2 linked regions of the Saccharomyces cerevisiae S288C genome follow. The protein of the gene in region 2 interacts with the protein of the main gene of each other region in a pairwise test. Each region holds a gene or a part of one and is shown on either strand. Other genes may lie near its edges. The genes, in order: BUR2 and SGV1.

Region 1 (6,721 bases), on a different chromosome or scaffold from region 2:
AAGACGTCGACTATCAAACTTTTAAAAAAAGTTTAAGAAAAGAATTTAAAAAAGCTGTGAAGACTATCCTAAATTTACAAGCATATAATGGTGATTTGATAAGGGACTTTTTGGCTCTTTATATTCCGTACCATGTAGTTTTTTATAATCTTTCGATCATGAAAAAAGGTTCACCATTAAGGATTCAAACCAATAACCTTCTGAAAGAAGCGCTGGCCAAAATTTTAAACTTTAATCTTGCGATGGGTCCAAAACATATCATCAAGATAATGAAGAAAGATAAAGCCGATCCAGAGACAATGAATAAATTAAAACTGGTACTATATATAAAATTATTTCAAGGAGTATTTGGTCATGTAGATAAAAATTATAACCTCGCATTTCAATCTTTTCGCTGGTGCTTACAATTCATTGCGTACTCAAAAAGGACAAGACTATTTGCAAGTATCGCAGACGAGCAAATTGGAGCTTTTTATGAACTTTGCGAACTATTTATATCCATGTTGTGTTGCCACTGTTTTCTAATTGATTTGAAAGAAAATGAAGCATTGGTAGGCAATAATCTAAAAAATTTTATCAAAAGACAAAACCCTAATTATTCCCATGGCTTCGATTTAAATGAGGAGACCAAGTCACTTCAATGGCACTGGTCACTCGACGAGGTAGATGTTATTGAGGCGTTATACTGCGTCGCTTTCGATGCGATGGATAAGATAACGCTTAAATTTTCAAAGGTCAATGAAAATTTTGTTTTTAGTCAGTTTTTTCAGTATTGTGCAGAAATCGAAGAAATGTTAGCCATTCTGAGAGGAAAAATTTGGGAGTGTGAATGTGATGTGTTCGGTCCCAGAATCGGACTATTAGTAGATAGTAACCACATGAATGAAACAATTCAAAAAAATATTCTGTCAATAACTTTCAAACTTAAAAATGACCCTCAGATTATATGCTGCTTGAATAAAATTCTGGAAGGCTTATTACTTTCATCAGGTGTTCAATTTAAAGTTATCCAGTTTTTTTATGTATTAAAACTATACTATATGCAAGATAATGAATACACATTCGAAGCATCATCTGAAATGGATAAATTGACCATAGAATGCTTATGTATCATCGAAAATATTATTGATGCTTGTGACAATCCTGATGAAGTAACTGACTACCAACTACCTAAGGTACTGTTGACTGCTATGGAGGGGAAATTACTTGTTGCTGAAAAAATATCCGAAGATAATGACTGTTCAGAATCTCTGGACGATTATCATCCCCGAACTTACCAATTCAGACATCCCAGAATAATAATAGACAAGATGAAAACAAAATTGAAGCAGAAACTGCGCTTTGACTCACCTAAAGATCCAGAAACAGATGATCATTGGATTGAGTATTGGAAATATTGCTATCAGGATAACATAGGGAACTTGCCGGACATTTTGTCACGTATATATCAAACCTTTACTGATCCCTCCAATTAAACATAACTTGTACTCTATTTTTATATTTTAGGTTTTTTGGCATCTGGGGTTCTTATAGGATCTTTAGCCTTTCTCTTCATACTTTCTTGTTTAGCCTTATCTAGTAAATCTTTAACCCTTGTTTCAATATGATTCAAAAACTCTTCCTTCACCTCACCGGATTTAATCAACTCGTAGTTAAACGGATCAGAGATTTCTGAAACTTCATTTTCCACATCGCCACTTTCGTCAATCACCGAATCAATCATGCTTGAATCAATTTGTAATTTAGCACCTTTATTACTTTTTAAGTTGAAAAAATTCTCTTCCAGTAACTTGTAATCGGTAAAGATATTGGCAAAATTTTCCGGCGTTACTTCGATAGGGAATCTATCCTTGAAGAAGTTTTTCGGATATCTGAAATCTTTGTCTACAAGCTTTTTATACTCTAAACCACAGTATATGAGAGATAGTACAATGAACGTATAACCGTCGCACAATAAAGAAACTGGCTGGGTGACAGCTTGGACCATAAAATTTCTTGATTCTTGAAGAATTTTTGGAAAAGCTTTTTTAAAGTTTTCTGGCAGATTGTGATCCCTGTTGAATCTATAATAGCCACTGAACACTTCTTCAATCAATTCTTTTGGATTACTGATATTTAAGTCAAAGCCAAATAAACATAGTATTTTTTTTTCATTCGTCACTAACTTATCTCTAAATTCCCATTTAAGTTTATCAATATTTGTTCGACTTTTTAAAGACGGTATATTTTGCATCAAAAACTCACAAGTCGCCTTAATATAGGCCTCTATAGGCCTATTATTCTCCATTGTTTTGCAAGCGGTGACCAGAATTCCCTGTGATATATGAATACATTCAGTTATGGCTGTAGGTATTCCATATATGAACCAATACCTGTAAAATAGAATGCATGATGCCGTATAGGTGTGATCAAAAAGATTTAATTTTTTTTTAAGTGTGTAAAAGTACATTAAGCATTTTTCCATATTTTTTTTTATTTCCACTGCTATCGGTCCATTAGTGCCTATCTTTTCAATAATATCTTTGCACTCAAAAACCCACTGGTTTTCTGGTGTTTCTATCAAATCCGGCCATAGGGTCCTTGCGTTAAACCCACTCGATGCTGGTGGTGGTGATGCATTGCTCGTTGGTTTTGGTACAGCTTGAAATTTTTTCACGTCACCACTTGAAGATGTAGCAGACATTATCTTACTGTAATATATTTTAAACGAAAATACTACGGCCTCCTTCAATATGTGTATATAATTACCAATCAAAATAGCTACTTGCTTTCTAACAGAAATAGTGATACTTTTTAATCACTTTTCTTTTTTTACTGAACAGTGAAAAATAGAAGTCACAATGAGACCTAGGTCAAAAAGCCATAATGAATAGGGTTTGCAATAAAAAAGCTTTAAACGATAGGTCTGTTAAAGAGGATAAATAGGTTTATCATGTATCATTTGGTTTTTTGGGATAGGGCTTGGCAAAAACCATAACAGGGGAATGAGATTTTATATATAAATAGACAAGATAGATACTAAAATAGTGACGGATTCTCTCTAAATATTCGAGAAATTTTCAAAATTTTAGGGCAACGAACAGTTTAATTAACATAAAAATCATAGAGCAAAGAAAAAATGGCGGTTGCGATCAAAAAGGAGAAGACGAAATTTGCCCCCGTTAAGGAAGTTTTATCCGAGAAGGATCATGCTAATTATACTAAATTTCAGGATACATCGAAACTAGAATGGTTTTGCAGGACGTCAAATCACAAAAAGTTCAAGTCACATAGTTTATTAAAAGCAGTAAGAAATCCAACGGAAACAAGAATAGAGACACAAACTCTGTATTTTACGGATCTCACCAACGGCAAATGTGGATTAATTCAACTATTATATTCCAGTGTTATGGGCGGTATATACAAAGGTTTTCAGTTAAATTTCAAAATATTTAAAGCCAGCAGTGAGGAAAACTCTGAAGAAGACATTGATATATGGGAAAGCTTTAAAATTGATAATATCAAAGATTTTGATACGTTAAAAGTTGAATCGGACAATGTTACGTTTCACTTCGTACCTTTGGAAAATTCTTCCTCCAGTGGATTTGCTCAATTATTAATTAAGATAGATATTCCGAAGGGAAGTACAAGCTGTTTACTAAAAGATTTGAAGGTTGACATTACCGTAAATTTACAAGAAGGATTCATAATAAACCCGGACGGTTCCAATTATTACCTTGACAAGAGCATCAGCTTGGAAGAGTTAGCAAAAAGAGACTCTTCTAGTACGTCCAGAAAAATGATAAGACATGTTTTTGTTCCTAGAGGTTTTTGCAATGGTACCATCTCATACAAGAAAAACGATAAACCTGTGAAGCTGGACTTGAAGGACACGCCTATGTTGTATCTGGATGCTGTCCAGGGGCTAATACCCAATAAGGCGGCTAGTAAATGGAATTTTCTTTGTTTCAATGGTGAGAAGCGTTCGATGATGTGTATTGAATTCACCACAACAAAAGAATATGGCAGCACTACAGTGACTATATGGGCGGTTAGTGATAAGGACAAAATTTTGGAGGTCGGGTCAAGTGTAAATGATCATGCTGTTAAATTTCCATCTACAAAAGAGGATAAGCAAAATGGTTGGAAATATCCTACATCCATTTCATTTCCGCGTGGTTTTGAAGAATCTAATTTAAGATTAGTCAATAGGTACGATATAATGAGTGAGCTGCCCGCTTTCATTAGGTCTATTGCTGAAAATCTGGCAAACATGAAGCCATTCATTTACCAATTCTGCCAGAAGTCTAAATTCGATGACGATGAAGGAGTTTCCATCATTGAAAGTACATTTATCAATTGAAAAAAATGAAATTTGACTATACATATTTTCATCATTGCAAGAATATTATATCCATTTATAAGTAGGTAGGTGCATAGACGTATATACACATATATTATAGACTAATTGATAAATTTTTTTTTCATCTTCGAAGATAAGGGGTATTCCAGTTGGGCAATGCTATTTCTTGACCAAGATCTTGCTTTTGTTCCGGATGCTTGTAGACGAAAATTCTTATCAATTTGGATGGCTTGTAAGGTAAACCGTGCCCAATTATCGTGTCTCTAGGAAATGAAATTTTCTCTTCAGATTGTAAGCAGGCCAAACTCCATGCAAACTGGTATGAAAAAGAACATTCACTATAGTTGAAGATTGCTTCAATGCTATTTACGGGTTCGATTCTAAAGAGTAACCACGGCTTCGATATCTGATATGGAATAAAGTCATAACCGAGTAGAACTAAATCACCATTGATACAAACATCTGAATCTGTCCTGTCGATAGCTTTCAGTTCCAGGGGAAGATGTGTCGTTCCAGTGCCTTCAAAAATTTGCTCATCGTATAGCCTGGGAAGGTGGCCTAGGTTAACACAGTATATTCCTTCAGATGTTATCAATTCGTTGATATATCCTGCACTTGCCACGATCTGCTTCGGCCCATAGTTGCATATGCCTATTTCCGTAATAATTTTCGGTATGTATCTGGCAACGTGCGCATTTTTTACATAAAACCAAACGTTTACCGGTGTAGGCTCGTCCTTCCTCCTGGACCAAAAGTTAACAGGTAAAGCTGTCAACGACTGCATAAGAGTTCTTTCCTTGGGCCGACTATTAAAGTTACTGGTAGAATCAGAACCATTTGAATCTTGACTTTTGGTATATTTGTCCCATCCCATATTAATTATCTTTCCAGGATATTGCAGCGCATTGTATACAATATACCAAGAATCTGCGATGTATTTAGTCATGCACAGTGGCACATTAAAACCTGGTTCCTTCGTTTCTTGAATGATTTCTCTGGCATGCTGTCGAAGTGGGTCCAAACTCTTGACATATAAACATAATGAATGTTTGACAACGGCCCATATATAGTTGTCCTCAGCTATCCACGCCAAACTCTTCTCCTTATAGCTGTGGTTATGCAAAACGTAGAAGTATTTATTGACAGCACGAAGTTCATTAGGCACGTACTCTAGTAATGATAAATGTATCTCCAGTGGTAAATCCATCAAGCTGCTATCGCTCTGATTCATCTCTTGTTTGCACACTCTGTCTTCTTTGCGCCAATAGGCATAGTACAAACAAAAAAACGAGCCAAGCAAACAGCGGAAACTCTATTAAAGGTTATGCTACCTTCCGATAGTGATAATATTATGAGAAACTCCAATGTAGATCTACTTGTCTGAGATGGCCTTTGATAAAAAAATCAATCGAGTACGCAATAGAGGGGCAGAGACTTTGAAGAGCAAAAAAAAGAAAAAGGAAATTTTCAGTTATTGTTCCGATTTTTCCGTGTGGGGTTCGGGATGCCTAGTTGTTCCGTAATGCGATTGAAAGATACACTTAACTAGGAGGCTGCTAGTACGCGACCCCTACCTACGTATTGCAAAGATGTTTGAAGTATCAACGGGTGTAGAACTTTGCAATCAAGCAAAAGCTAGATAGTTCCATTATGAATTGTGACGATGTTACCCGTACTGCCTACTACATCTCTTTATACGGATTGAAATCTCTAAAGGTTGCCCTGCCCGTCGTTTCTTTTTCGTTGGAATTCTTTTTTTTTTTTTTTTTTTTTTCATCTCATCACTAAATTGATTTAAAGTACAACTAGGGAAAAGAGACTAGATAATAGGTGCTTTACACGTTTTGACGTTTAGCTTTTACGGCTCTTTAATTGACTTGCTGTAAGTATTTGTATAATCATTGGTAATATTTGAATACATTCGAAACACTTGCTACAAGAAATTAAAAGGAGGAACTCTTCAAAAGGCTATATTTAATTACTGCTTATTTATTACATTCCTCCCTTTCCACAATTCTAACATAGGACAAACCTATAATATTTTTTTTAACTTCGGTGAGCATCATAAGCAATAACCATTTCAAACATAGTAATATTCATTCTACGAAATTCATTTTCAAGCTTGTTGAAATTGAAGGAAATTCAACAAGGAAGCAAATAAACAAATAAGGAAAAAACAACCGGCAAACTGGAAACAGAACGAAATGGCAGGCAAAAAAAGTCCTCGAAAAAGTACGATCAATCATAGTACACATTCTGGTAAACTGCCAGCAAATATTAAAAGGCTCATAAAAAAGGGCGAATCCGATACAAAGTCCAGGCAATCACCACCCACACTGAGTACAACGAGGCCAAGAAGATTTAGCCTTATATACTCTT
Region 2 (7,612 bases):
AAGGTAAGGAGTTGAGGTTGAAACAGCAGTACTTCTGGTGTGCTGCATCCTTACACGACATCTTAAGAAGATTCAAAAAATCCAAGAGGCCATGGACTGAATTTCCTGACCAAGTGGCTATTCAGTTGAATGATACTCATCCAACTTTAGCCATCGTTGAATTACAGAGAGTTTTGGTCGATCTAGAAAAACTAGATTGGCACGAGGCTTGGGACATCGTGACCAAGACTTTTGCTTATACTAACCACACTGTTATGCAAGAGGCCCTGGAAAAATGGCCCGTCGGCCTCTTTGGCCATTTGCTACCCAGACATTTGGAAATTATATATGATATCAACTGGTTCTTCTTGCAAGATGTGGCCAAAAAATTCCCCAAGGATGTTGATCTTTTGTCTCGTATATCCATCATCGAAGAAAACTCTCCAGAAAGACAGATCAGAATGGCCTTTTTGGCTATTGTTGGTTCACACAAGGTTAATGGTGTTGCTGAATTGCACTCTGAATTAATCAAAACGACCATATTTAAAGATTTTGTCAAGTTCTATGGTCCATCAAAGTTTGTCAATGTCACTAACGGTATCACACCAAGGAGATGGTTGAAGCAAGCTAACCCTTCATTGGCTAAACTGATCAGTGAAACCCTTAACGATCCAACAGAGGAGTATTTGTTGGACATGGCCAAACTGACCCAGTTGGGAAAATATGTTGAAGATAAGGAGTTTTTGAAAAAATGGAACCAAGTCAAGCTTAATAATAAGATCAGATTAGTAGATTTAATCAAAAAGGAAAATGATGGAGTAGACATCATTAACAGAGAGTATTTGGACGACACCTTGTTTGATATGCAAGTTAAACGTATTCATGAATATAAGCGTCAACAGCTAAACGTCTTTGGTATTATATACCGTTACCTGGCAATGAAGAATATGCTGAAGAACGGTGCTTCGATCGAAGAAGTTGCCAAGAAATATCCACGCAAGGTTTCAATCTTTGGTGGTAAGAGTGCTCCTGGTTACTACATGGCTAAGCTGATCATAAAATTGATCAACTGTGTTGCTGACATTGTTAATAACGACGAGTCAATTGAGCATTTGTTGAAGGTTGTCTTTGTTGCTGATTATAATGTTTCTAAGGCTGAAATCATTATTCCAGCAAGTGACTTGAGTGAGCATATTTCTACTGCTGGTACTGAAGCGTCTGGTACTTCTAATATGAAGTTTGTTATGAACGGTGGTTTGATTATTGGTACTGTTGATGGTGCCAATGTGGAAATCACAAGGGAAATTGGTGAAGATAATGTCTTCTTGTTTGGTAACCTAAGTGAAAATGTCGAAGAATTGAGATACAACCATCAATACCATCCACAAGATTTACCATCTAGTTTGGATTCTGTTTTATCCTACATTGAAAGTGGACAATTTTCTCCAGAAAATCCAAATGAATTCAAACCTTTAGTCGACAGTATTAAGTACCACGGCGATTATTACCTGGTCAGTGATGACTTTGAATCCTATCTGGCCACCCATGAATTAGTGGACCAGGAGTTCCACAATCAAAGGTCAGAATGGTTAAAAAAGAGTGTCCTGAGCGTTGCAAACGTCGGCTTCTTTAGCAGTGATCGTTGTATCGAGGAATACTCCGATACCATTTGGAACGTTGAACCAGTGACTTAGCTGGGAGTTTTTTTTATCTCTTTGGCACCCTTCTCCCCATTTCTAGTAAGCGCTTTTTTCTCTTTACTTCTTCTCTTATATAAAACGCCTTTAAAATAATCGTTATCGGTTTTTTGGCACTCTTTTAAATGGTATATATGATGTTACAGGAAAACTTAGTTGTTTTCATATTGAAAATCCGCGCAGGATAACGCTTGTGTAAAACCGAGTGTCCTGAAGGTGGGTAAGGCGGTCCTTATTATCACTTACTCGAACGTTGACATTGGTACAGTCCCTATCAGGTAGGATGTACTGACGTTTTGACAATAGTTTCGATTTTATGGATTGTTTGAAAAGAGCGAGACAGTGACAAAACGTGATAGATTACATAGTAGTCAGTATACAACTTTCCGTAATTAGCCACGAGGCCAGAAAGGAAGAGAGAATAGTATAACCTAATATAGATCTGCAATATCACTATTTTGGAACTCCTTAGACTCATCTGGTTTCGCTCTTTCATCCTTAAAGCTTCCATTTTTTTTCTCTATTGGTTTACTCGTAAGCTGATGCTGCCCCTGTGAGGGCGAGATTGGGAATTGTGGATGAGAAGGTCTCGAGCCTTGATGATGATCACCAGCCATATTGCGAGAACCGTTTGAAGGATTATAATTTTTATTGATTGGCGCATTGGATTCTTGGCGACTATATTTCTGTGGTTGCCTATTGAAGTTGGTTTCCGGCTTGTTCACGTACCTAGGGTTATGATATCTAGAGTCATTTGGCGAGTTTTTGTACCGGGACTCATTTGAATTACCCTGGTATCTTGACTGAGGCCCCAATGGCAAAGGTACTTTATTATATTTAGAGCTGACATTTGTCTCAGGATGAAATCGATTTACGGGATTCCTGCTGTTGTTGGGTGCAGTGCTGTTGCCGCTGAAGCGATTATTTCTGGAACTATTGTTGGGTCCGTATCTATTAACTCCTGCAGGGGCTGCTGGCGGTGGAATCGCAGTTTTAGCATATCCGCTGTTCACATGATACGGTCTAGGATTTTGATGTAGTTCTCTTATTTTCGAAGGAGGCGGCTTAGCCAATACGTTCTTTGATGGAGGCAAAAAACTTGCGTCATCTTTCTTGGGGCCTCTTGGGATCGCCCCAAGATTTTTCACGACAGGTGATTCACCCTTTTCAACTATATGACCTCTTGGCGCAGTAGGTACTCTTTGGGACAATGATTGGTGCATTTCTTCCTTGTACCTCTTAATATCAGCTTCATGACTTTCTTCCGTCGGTAATGTTATCTTCTCTGATGGTAAAGGGTCCTCTTTAAACCAAGGATGGTGTTTAGCAGACATAGCGGTCAACCTCTTGTAAGGATCTAACGCTAACAACTGTCCTAAAAAATCTAGACCTGTTTCACTTAGATATTTACCAAATCTTTCCCTCAACGTTGGCTTGTAATTAGTTGTTGTTAGTTCAGCACCTGGCAAATATCTAGCCACGGCCCAATCTTCTTCTGTCGGTGTACCAAGTAGTTTGAAAATAACATGTCCCTGATCAATATCCGTTTTTCCCTGTAAAATAGGTTTTTTCTCAAAAAATTCTGCGAAAACGCATCCGACACCCCATATATCAACAGCTGTTGTATACTGTTTATCACCAAGCACCAACTCAGGTGCTCTATACCATCTCGTTACGACTACTGATGTATATTTGGCGCCGGAACCTGCACCACCAGGATACTTTAAGTTTGGAGGACAGCCATAATATAATCTTGCTAAACCAAAATCAGCAAGCTTTAAAACACCGTTGTGGTCAATCAAAATATTTGCTGTCTTTATATCCCTATGCATGAATTTTGCACAATGAATATAATTTAGGCCTTCTAATATTTGTAGCATCATATTCTTTATATCGCACATCTCTAAGTTGATTCTCGGATTATGCAAAACGCCCGACAGATCTGCTACCATATACGGCAGGATCATGTAGAATGACTTATGTAGGTTGCTGGATGCCGCATTTGTAATATCCGGTGAATGGTCATACACCATTTCGATTAGTTTAATAATATTTTTGTGGTTTAAACGCTTTAAAATAGTAATTTCTCGTTGTGCAGTTATAGGAAACAGATCTTTTTCAACGCTAACTATAATTTTTTTCATTGCCACTTGTCTTTGAGTCTCTAAATGAATTCCCTTATAAACCTCACCAAATGTTCCTTGTCCTAATTTTTCATCCTCACGATAATGATTCTGGAAAACTGTACACCCGTAAACTTTCTCACTACTTCTTTTTCTTAGTTTGATGTATGTTAAGTTAGTCTTCGCATCTCGCTGGATGGCTGGTGTACTCTTCACTTTGCCGATTTTGTATTTATTAAATTCGGTTTTTGGAAGAACCGCGGGGGAACCATTATCACTCATATTATTTTACTGTTATTCTGCTTGACCACGAATGTACTGCTAATACTATACAATTTCTTTTGCTGGTGTTTGGTAATATTTCTTTTCACCATTGTTAATTTCTCTCTCTACATTGCCTATGCTCTATTAAATGCATATGTGAATTTTTCAAATTCACAGAGGTTTGGTGTATGGGTGTATTTCCGTTCGACGCGATGACCACATAATCTTGAACTTACTTATTAGGAAAGCTGAACAGTGGAATATCAGAGTTGCTACCGCCAATAAAATGTCTGTATATTGTTCCCAAGATTCACAGTTGTGTCCAGGAGTAGTACATATTAGATTTGGGGATAATTCTTCTTAATTCCTGAAGAATGATCTGCATCTGGTAACTTCTCAAGTCAAACGGGATCATGGTGCCCTGAAATTGATAATTGCTAGCGTAAAATGCTGCGGTCGCATTATCTCTCAAACCAACGGCTGATTTCTCGGTAAAAAAATCCAGTTGCACTAAATTTTCCCAAACGTTCTTGACGTCCTTTTTCAACCATAGTTTGATAGTATTGTCGATAGAAAAAGTACTTTGACCTGTTCCCACATTTGTAGTAGGAGCCACGGTGGGAATTCTGGAGTTGATAGCTTTAATCATCTTTTCATACTCTGCATAAGCTAAATTAAAATTAAAAGATCCGTCTTTCGCCCTTAAGGCAACCCTAGCGGCTGAGATCAAAATGGCTAACTCTAAATCGGATAAAGATTGGAGCCTTCCTGTTAAATTATTAGATAGTTGGTTCTTATTGTATATGTCAAGAAAAGAACACGATTTTATGGCAGTGCAGAGTGAACCAAAATTTTTGGATGTCGCTACTAATGGAATTATGCTATTTTTCAATGTAGGTAATGACCTAAAGGTTTCGAAATTCATCCTAATATGTCTATTCAAATTCGATCGAGGGTCGGATAGTTCTTTTTCCAACGTTTCATTCCATTGTGAAACCCAGGGGGAGATTTCAGAGCGAACTGTAAGTAAATTTCTGACGGCGTCAACCATATCGTCTAGATTCTGTATTTGCGGCATATAAATCACTCTTTGAGAAAATCTACTCTTTACCCTCTTTTCTAAATATTCCAAGATATTTAATTTCGTTGTGCAGCCAAAAATGCAAACAGGTACCCGAGAATGTTCTACCATGTCAAAAAGATTGTATAATAAAGTTTGCCTCACAGGCCCAGCAAATGTATCAATTTCATCGAATATAAAAACAACTGTTATCTTTGTTATACTCTCTCTGTCAACCTCACCACTATCTTCATTTCTTGTCTTCGTGGTCGAATCTAAGAGTAAAAGAATTTTCTCAAACACTTCTGTCAAAGAACCACTGCTAATAGTCTCTAATGAAGTATCGTCAATTTTTTCTTCACTGCCATGAATTTTCTGCAACTGCTGTTCCAATTGAGTTGCTATACCGTTAATAGCTGTTTGTTCGGAGTGAATAAACCCATTCAACCTGATAGTTATAAACTGCTCTTTATAAGATTGTTGCAACAAAGACAGTTCATAGTCTAATAAGTATGTTTTGTAACTTTGTCTGGGCCCCACGAGAATTACTGAATGACTCTCTTTCTGAATAATGGATTGTTTAATGATTCTATCGATCTCTTGTTGACAATCTTGTAAATATGTGAAGATTATCTTTTCGTCCGTAGGAAGTGTGCCATAAAGTTGCTGCAGTAACCTTCTTTGAAGGGAACCAAAACCAGGGTCGCTGTCTTTACACTTTTCATTATCTATAGTACGCTTTTTTAGAATCGCTGCAGTCTCCTCTACCTCTTCGTTTGAGTGCCTCTTTATTGGGAGAAGATTGACTTGCGGTGATAGACGAGCTTCGCTTATAGTCATGCTTCTTCTTTTGAATATTACCGATATTAGTAGTTTATATTTGATATTTCTATCAGTATTATTTAGATTTTTTTTTTTTTTTTAATTGTTAATGCTTTTTCTTAGAACTTTCCAAAAACGAAAGGAAAATGGGACATTCAAAAACTTACCTCACATAGAAAAATGATAAATCCAAAAATACACTTGAACACATGTATGAAACTTAATACAAAATATATGGTTATTTTTTTTTTAATTATATAATAGAGTTAGAATACCTGGTAGAAAGGAGAGTAGAAAAACAAGAAAGAAAAAAAGCAAACAGTAAATACAAATGTACATTTTATCATCATACAACACTCTATTTCTTACCAACAACTTCCCAATTGTCACCATCTTCAACAGTCAATTGAGCAGTTTTATCCTGTAGCTTTTCAACTGCCGCATCAACTTTGTTTTCTTTTGCGTCTCCATTTTGCTTTTCAGCCTCTTCATCTTCATCATCATCTTCAGTACGTAAAACATCATAAACAGACTTCTGGATTTTTGGTTGCTCATCAGTAGTCTTTTTGTTAGTTAGAGACCTATCCTTGTAGGTATTTTTGGTTTGTTGAGGCTTACCAAACTGAGCACCTCTGGCAGCACCCCAATCCAAAGCTGGTTCTTCCTTTTCTCTTTCTCTTCTTGGTGGTCTTGAGGAGCTTTGGAAGTTGGAACCTCTGGCTGCACTCCAGTCAATATCTGGCTCTTCTCTTTCTCTTCTTGGTGGCCTCGAGGAGCTTTGAAAGTTAGAGCCTCTAGCTGCACTCCAGTCAATATCTGGCTCTTCTCTTTCTCTTCTTGGTGGTCTGGAAGAGCCTTGGAAATTGGAGCCTCTTGCAGCGCTCCAGTCGATATCAACTTCTTCTCTTTCTCTTCTTGGTGGTCTGGAAGAGCCTTGGAAATTGGAACCTCTTGCAGCAGTCCAGTCAATATCAACTTCTTCTCTTTCTCTTCTTGGACCTCTGAAGTTAGAACCTCTAGCGGCACCCCAATCAAGATCTGGTGCATCTTCTCTTCCATCACCTTGGAAATTGGAGCCTCTAGCACTACTCCAATCAACATCTGCACCTCCCCCTCTTCTTGGAGCCGCAACAGAAACGTAAACAGTTCTCTCATTCAATTTAGTACCGTTGAACTTCAGAACGGCGACCAAATCTGCTCTTTCTTTCAAAGTAACGAAAGCATTACCCTTTAATCTTGTTGGGTCTCTTAGATTCTTTGGCAAAACAACTTCTTCAACCGCTTCAGGCTTAACTAAACCATCTTCAACCCAGGCTTGAACACCCTCTGGGGTAATATCCCATGGAATGTTGTTTATGACAGCCCTATATGGTGGAGCATCTGGAACAGGGTATTCCTCTCTTCTATCGGAAGAACCGCCCCCCAAAGCAGGGTCTAATCTAGATCTACCTCCAAAACTGCCACCAAAGCCGCCTGAACGCGTGTTATTGCTGTTGTTTTTAGCATGAGCCAATTCGGACAATGGAATAGTGTTTGCATTAGCGGTTTCAATAGGAATTGTGATCTTATTCAAATCGACATCTTCTTCAGCCCAAGATGAACCAAAGGTGTCATCATTTAAAAATGACGTAAGGTCCATCTTCTTTACGGTTTTCTTTGGTGGAGCC

The links.
Region 1: the proteins of SGV1 (region 2) and BUR2 interact in binary tests that used the Saccharomyces cerevisiae proteins (3 or more experiments, as listed by UniProt).

What each region holds. Positions count from the first base shown.
Region 1 is NC_001144.5:585,316-592,036, reverse strand, and holds BUR2 (Bur2p), read right to left. Parts: upstream 2,684-6,721; coding exon 1,496-2,683; downstream 1-1,495. Other genes in the region: ADY4 (Ady4p), read left to right, coding at 1-1,475; YLR225C (uncharacterized protein), read left to right, coding at 3,119-4,342; UCC1 (Ucc1p), read right to left, coding at 4,464-5,573; IFH1 (Ifh1p), read left to right, coding at 6,547-6,721. UniProt on the Saccharomyces cerevisiae protein: Component of the BUR kinase complex involved in transcription regulation.
Region 2 is NC_001148.4:862,342-869,953, forward strand, and holds SGV1 (cyclin-dependent serine/threonine protein kinase SGV1), read right to left. Parts: upstream 4,082-7,612; coding exon 2,108-4,081; downstream 1-2,107. Other genes in the region: GPH1 (glycogen phosphorylase), read left to right, coding at 1-1,673; ORC4 (origin recognition complex subunit 4), read right to left, coding at 4,374-5,963; TIF3 (Tif3p), read right to left, coding at 6,304-7,612. UniProt on the Saccharomyces cerevisiae protein: Serine/threonine-protein kinase component of the BUR kinase complex involved in transcription regulation.